Linked DNA regions of Xenopus tropicalis. The protein of the gene in region 2 binds, or shares a complex with, the protein of the main gene of each other region. Links are inferred from orthologs where the notes say so. Each region holds a gene or a part of one and is shown on either strand. Other genes may lie near its edges.

Region 1 (3,654 bases), on a different chromosome or scaffold from region 2:
AGGAATTATAAGGTCTTATTTTCATTACCAAGCAATCCCCACCAAAAGCACAATCAGGGTTGCCCGGACCAAACCAGAATGTAAAGTGTCTAAGGATTAGGTTTCCTTAAATGTACAAAAACTAAATGTTGGCAATGTTGCAGAGCCAAGTCGTGCATTGGTCAGTTAATGATGTTTCCCTTCTGTAAATAGAAAATGTAATGAGGTGGAAGGGTAACACTGTTTTTATGCTACAAACACTGCGTTCTCTGTAAACAGTATGTCTGGTATCTTCAATATACACTTTTTTTGAACACTTCAATGATGATATGATTTCTAAAAGATTTTTAAGAACTTGTATAATTAGCCTGAAGGAAGGCATTTCACTTTGAATAGGTAAAAAAATAATAAATGCAGCCAATCAGAAACAAGTATACAAGAATCTACTACATATTCTCACATTATTTTGCCCAAGAAATGGTTTAATCATACAGAACACCCAGTTTTCTTACCTTTCTTGTCTGAGGTTGAAAGGCCAAACCTTTAAAAAAAAAAAATTAAGTGTAAGAAAAAAAGATATACGAGACCTATTTCAGTTTAGAATTTTAATATTTCACATCCACTCTAACAGATGTGAAATGTTAGCATTTTTTCTACTTAAAGGGGATGTTCATCTTTAACTTTTAGTATGATGTTGACACTGGACATTCAAACGTGATTTGCAACTGGTATCCATATTTTTTTTTTTTTTTTTACTTGGGCCTGAACAGAAAGATGAGGAATAGAGTAACAATAATAACATGGTAACCTTTGTTTAAATCAGTATTTCAATGCTTACCGGATGGCTCGAGCTGCTTTTTTGCTGTCCACACTGGCAGGAACATTGAACCTCTCAGCTCTTTTTTGAAGCTTCTGTAAAAGCAGAACATTTGTTAATGGTTACGTCCAAAACAGTTGGTGCTACAGACAACTATTAATCAATAAGCTCAGACGTTTAAGGTAATAAATATCAGGCTTGGAAAAAGCAGACATACATACCTTGTTGTTTCTGCCAGTGTAAAATAGCACTACATAGTATCAGCACTTTGTCTGCTGACAGAGAAATGTATTGTATGACACTCAACCTATATACCACCGCCCTTTATATTAAAACTATGGAGGGATTACCACAGACAAATCTGTAGCAGTTGTGTGCTACTTACTAACTGGGTTATCTGTCCAACCTGTGTATAACACAGCTGCACTGTAAATTCCTCCACTGTGCAGAAAACTCTATTAAAAACAAGAACTGTGTTGTGAATCTAACACTTGGTCACATTCAGGGCAGAGGGAGCTCAATAAGTGCTAGCCATACAGGCAGCACTTGGCATATTTAACATATACAGGTAAGCATCACAAAGAAGATGTACACAGATTTTACTTACATCAGTTTCAGAAGCACTGCTGGAAATTTTCACCAGCTTCTTTTCTGCATTTCTGTTGGAATTAAAAAATATATGAATAGCAGCAGGTCAAAGCACTGATAAGACAAAATGGTGTCTTTGTATCGAAAGATCCATCTTTCCTACAAAACACATTGTCTATATATATTTTTTGGAAAAGATAAGTCTTGGATGTAAAGCCACTGATTGACTAAACCTCTCTTTATAGCTGAAATAGACAAATAAAGTTGACATGCATGTAGTAAACCTTAGCTCCAAAACATAGCAACGAAGCCAGATTTGAGAAAGCAAAACATCAATATCAAAGTGTTTATAAGGCAAGTATTACTGCCTCAGAGGCAAACAAGTGTGTTAAATACAAATAAAGTGGACAGTAGATTACAAAAGAAAAACTACACGTGTGAGCTGGAAAAGGGCATAAAAGCACATTTTCTTCCTAGGAAGTTCCCAGGCACTAAAAGGAAAAGAAAAAGAAAGTGAAGTGGTGTCAGCTATTATAAAGCCCTCTCCCATAAAGTGTGGGTCGTAACACCCCCATAAAGGAAGAGTTTCTTGCTCAGGGGGAACGTTACGAGGCTTTTGTTCCCAAATCCTGGAAGCAGCCTTTCCCATGGGACAGTAAAAGATTTAACAACTTTCACAGGAAGCACAATGAGGTCAGAAGACAGGACGTGCTATTCTACTCACCCCAGTGAAGTAAATACCTAGTATATGTTTTAAGACTCATCAAAAGGAATTTTATATGTGCTATTTTCTTTGGGATCAAGTTCAGATAGTTTAACTAAAGGTCAAAAGACAATCAGTCCAGGCAATACTATTTTACTGTGGGACCACCAACGCTGTGGCACTACAATAGATGCATATCCAATATGGTACTTCTGGCACCCTTATACAGGCATGGCAAGCTGCAGCTTTCCATATGTTTCTAAACTATAATTTTCAACATCCTGTCATCAGCCTTGAGGATGCTGGGAGTTGCAGCATGGCACCATCTGGTAGGCTGCAGATTGAATGTGGCTTTAAAGAGGACATCACCCTAAAAAATAATTTTAAGTCCTTATCCATCATGTAGCTGAGCATAATAAGATTTACTTTACACTATATACATTATTAAACTAGGTTTCCTCCTGTCCTGGGGTTCACAATCACAATAAAGAGGCGGTGCCATTTGGCAGTCATACTTTCTAAGCTTAAAGTTATACAACAGATTGGCAAAACTGACGGACAAGGCGCCTCCTGTCACTTGATCTGTAATGCCCCATTGACACACTGACAAGGTACACTGGAACTTTAGTTCAACTGTCTGTAAAAATATCCCCCAGTCCAAGTTACATACATTCCCTTATATTTGTGCAGTATAGTTGATATCAGTCAAGCCACCTGACCAAATCTGGGCATGTACTGACTGCTTCACCTAGATATTTAACAAAAGAAGGGGGTGAGTTAAGGGAAATAACCGTATGCTCAGAAAATGATTCCAAAACTCTTGTCTGCTGAAAAGAAAGTATTTTCAGGGTAAGAAAAACATTTGCGCTGCAGTCTGAATAAAGGATGCTGATCTGATAAGTCTTTGAACAGTCTGTGTACATCCAAGGGGTACTGGCTGATGGGAAACCTTTATATCCCCAACAAAGGTAAATACAGAAAGGGTCCTATTTTCTGTGACTTCTCATTACATTTGATGGTACACTTTAAACTAGCCAAAAGGGAAAATTTACAAAGGTTATAGTAATAGGGGATAAAAGCTCCTGCAGCTATACGATCTTTTACCAAAGCTTGCAAGATGAAGAGGAATTGGCAGTTGTTTAGGATGATGCAGAAGCTCTTTTTTTATTTATTAAAAAAAAACAACTTTTTAACCAATGACTTCTCACTTATCTGTATACTAACTGGTTATAACAATGACAGAAAAGACCATTTCTTAAGCCTATACCTTTCTTTAGTCAGTAGGTACAGAGTGCCATCTTGTGGACAGAAACATGCAAATGTAGTTATTACCATGAATCTCTTGTAGCTCTTGGCATATCCAAGATAGTCCATAAACATCCCCCACTTTAATTTAACCATAACTGGAATTCTAAAGTAAGATGCACATCAGGAAAAAACAAACTACATTTTTAAAAGGTTTAACAAAGTTTATAACTGGTTAGAAATATACTCCCTTGCAAGCTGGGTCCTACCGCCAGACTTCCTGCATGGGTGTGAGTGTATGCCAGGCTTGGTTTACAAAAAC
Region 2 (3,748 bases):
AGGGGTAGATTCTCTGCCTGTTTCCTGTATGGCAGTAGCCTAAGACTTTAAATAGTCCCATTATCTTTAAATAGACCCTGAATAAGAGGGGAGAAACCTTTCTACAAACATCCTTTGTTAAAAAAAAAAAAAAAAAAAAAAAAAAAACACACTGATCTACAGTTAAATAGATTTTATGGAAGTCATGCACATCAGCCAGTTATGAACACATGTTTTTATTGCCAGAGAAAGCAGTTTGCAAGAAGTATAATTAGAAAAGATTGTACCCAGTTCTCTCACCTTCAGTGATCTCAACTTACAAATTCCATAGGAACTACTATGATGATATTCTTTTAACCACCCTCATAGCAAATTACCCAATATATGTACACTTCCCAAATTCATCTAATAACTAAACATCCAATCACCCACTAAGTCTCATTTTGGTAAGTCCATGCAGCAAAATGTGACCATTAAATCTGACTTGCATTTTTTTTACAATTTAGCCTAATTTTTAAAAGCAAATACTATTTAAGAAGGCATGTAAACACGGTCAGAGAACACAAATATGGTGGACACCTGGAGAAAGTTTAAAAATCATCCCATACACAAAAACAGCAACTGAATAACAGATTGATTTTTTTTCTTTTTTTATTAGAGGAAGGTGAAGAGCACCCTACCATCAACATTCAACCAATAAAATGTCCCAAAATAACTCCGTACAAAACAGGTCTGCATCGGACATAGAAATTAAGAAAAAAAATGAAAAAGACTTTACATGAGCTTAAAACCTATGGGAAATAAAAGCAAAACAAAAATCCATCTGTTGACATTTTTCTTCAGAGCAAGCAACATCACAGGAACAAGACAGAAGGGATTAGCTGGTGTCCATCTGGGGAAGAGAAAAAGACCATGCTTAGAATTTATCATTTGTAAATAGTTGTCAAACTAAGCACTAGTTATAAATTTTGGTTATATTTGCTTAGACACAAATATACCCCCAAGATGTAGCCTATAGCAACCAGTCAGCAATTCAGATTTGTCACCTACAAGTTAGAAAACACAAGCAGAGATCTAATTGGCTGCTATGGGCAACATCTCTGGTGATGTTGGCTTGCACACCATTCTATATATGCCCTAAAAAGTATTCATTACTCAACATAAGTGCAATGAATAGGGCTTTCATTGTGCACTTTTGCCTATTTGAAAAATATCTATGGTTTGCATTTTCTTGCACAATCTGCCCAAAATTACTATGAACATCTGTGCAAAATTACCACGAACTCGCTTTCATTTTCAAGTTCCCTATATAGAGCAATTGTGGAAGTGGCCATTTTTACAGATAGGATTAATGTTTAGCCCAAAGGGAAACCAGCACTTTATTATTCATAATTGCCTACAAAATTAGGGTTTTTCCCCACTTATCCAATATGTCTCCTTTAACATTTGTGAATATCCCTTAGTAGTTACTGGAAAATTAGTAACAGTCAGAGGAAGGCAAAAAAAAAAACCCATCTGAAGCCTCTCTAATTTGCTGCAATGGGGAAAAAAAAAAAAAAATTCTTTCGACTCCAAGATGGCAATCGGACCAGTCCCCATATCAACTTGTACTGGTAGTAAATCCTGTAGTTTCTTACCCGAGCATTGTAAGCATCAAGCTGTGCATCCAACTCTTCTGCTGACAACTGCTGTTTTGGATTTCTTCCAGCCCCCCTTCCACGACCCCGATTTCCACCTCTGCCGCCACGCCTGTTTGCACCAGAAAAACCTATAGCTCCTCCTCGTGGCCGAGTGATACCACCACCCCTACTTTGGCTGCAAAATATAAAAAAAACACTACTACATTAATGGTGCTGGGGTTGAAAAGTTCACTCATAGTGCAGTATATCTTAACGTGAAATTTAAAATAGCATATATTAGCTATTAATATAAAGCAGACTTTTTAAAGGAATGATGTAGAGCCCTTGACACAAGCCAGAACCCCTGCATTGCAAGCAAAGGTTTTATTTAAAAAAAAAAAAAAATTGAAATTACTTTCAAAACTAAAGGCACATGCAACTAGAAATGTTTCTGAAATTAACTTTGATCCTTGTGTAGTTAGCCTTTCCACCACAATCTGCTTAAATGGTCCTTATAATTTATTAGTATGCAGCAGGTGCTTTTGTCCTGGCCTGGCAGCAAAGCAGCCCAAAATATTAATTTCTGCACCATAATACATCCTGTGTTCATGCAGTCTGCCAAGAGCAGTGGTTCAGCCACTGCAGGTAAAGGAAACATATAGTGTGCTGCAAGCCCTAGTATAAATTACAATATCAAGAACATACATTATCCAAGCTAAATAAACCTTTTTTCCTTACCTCTGTATAGGTCTTCTCTGTGCTTCTATCTGTGATGTGACCAACTGAATGTTCATGGGCCGACCTACAACAATAGGAGAGGGCTGATTTTAGACAAGATAATTATGTATTTTATTTATATAGTTGGCCATGTTAAGCAACTCACCATCCAGTGGTACCCCATTATACTGCTTCATTGCTTTCAGAGCATCGGCTTTTCTTTCAAAGTGCACATCTGCAGTGCCCAAGCTTCGCCCAGATCGGTCATAATGTACTGCTGCCTTCTTTAAAGTACCAAACTCTGCAAAGAGCTCCTGTTGAGAAACCACCACATGTACTGATTTGCAGAGTAGCGAAAGTACAGCCTAACCATATCAGTAAAAGCTTTTGAATTACTGCAGTGATTGTGACCAACTTATTTGCAACTTTATACAGTTTCCTTGCATTTGCATGGTTGAAGACATATCCTATAAAAATTATAAAATATGTACCAGTGAGTTACTCTCCTCTGGATATAGGATTGAGCTTAAAAAAAAAAAAAAGTTGTGTTTCAGGCAGGTTTTCAAGCAGAAGTGAAACTTCCTGGAATGCCCTGCTATTGGTGAACACTCAGCTGAGTAATAAAGGTCAGATGTGCTCTGTGGAGGATATAAAATACCACAAAGTTCAGGTGTGAGCGTGTTTTAGCTAAAATATTTGCACTGTGCAAGAAGGCCCTTGTTTACATTTTATCGCTAAGAGGAGATTCAAATGTTCTATCTGCAGCAATTCCAATGAAAAATTTATTATGGAAGCACAATTATGTGGGTGACAATGCCATCTATCCCTCCCCCAAAAAACACGCATATTAAGCCAGTGACTCCTCACCTGAATATCTGCATCAGAAACGCCAAAGTCAAGATTTGACACAAGAAGTTTTCCTCCAGTCTCCATACCAGCGCCTGTACCAAAACCACTATCGAACAGATCATGCTGCCACTTGTCAGGGAGTTGTTTCGGCTGTAAAACAAAAAACAAAAACGTCATTAATCCAAAAGCCACAAAACACTGCCTGTAGCGCAATGCCCACACTGAAGCCAAGAGATCTCAAAAAGGTAAACTCTACCAACTGCCATACAACGAGAGTAATGAGGTTAACACTTGAGAAAAAAAGAGGTGGTGCAGTCAGACATCTAGGATAGATATCAGCTCCAGCTAAGAGGACTAAGGTAACATTACTCTGCATGCAGGTATGCTACAAAGCCTTAGGACAATGACACCGGGCACAGCAGGCACCAGTGATCTGCTGCCATATCACTCATACAAGATTTTGAGATCTTAAGGTGGCCGTACACATTAAGATCCACTCACTTGGCGACCTACGGGTGGGCGATATCGGGGGAATTTAGGCTAATCCGCCATTTGGCCCTGGGGCCAAACGATCGAATTAGAAC

What was found. Proteins that work in one complex are often made in the same cells at the same time.
Region 1: alyref (region 2) and sarnp share a complex: the UniProt entries of both Homo sapiens proteins name them as parts of the transcription/export (TREX) complex. The link is inferred for Xenopus tropicalis from reciprocal best matches to the Homo sapiens genes ALYREF and SARNP.

What each region holds. Positions count from the first base shown.
Region 1 is NC_030678.2:138,199,110-138,202,763, forward strand, and holds part of sarnp (SAP domain-containing ribonucleoprotein), read right to left. Parts: intron 1,456-3,654; coding exon 1,404-1,455; intron 892-1,403; coding exon 818-891; intron 521-817; coding exon 492-520; intron 1-491. UniProt on the Homo sapiens protein: Binds both single-stranded and double-stranded DNA with higher affinity for the single-stranded form. Specifically binds to scaffold/matrix attachment region DNA. Also binds single-stranded RNA. Enhances RNA unwinding activity of DDX39A.
Region 2 is NC_030686.2:27,889,746-27,893,493, forward strand, and holds the end of alyref (THO complex subunit 4), read right to left. Parts: intron 3,315-3,748; coding exon 3,183-3,314; intron 2,630-3,182; coding exon 2,482-2,629; intron 2,401-2,481; coding exon 2,337-2,400; intron 1,795-2,336; coding exon 1,617-1,794; intron 872-1,616; coding exon 857-871; 3' UTR 626-856; downstream 1-625. UniProt on the Homo sapiens protein: Functions as an mRNA export adapter; component of the transcription/export (TREX) complex which is thought to couple mRNA transcription, processing and nuclear export, and specifically associates with spliced mRNA and not with unspliced pre-mRNA.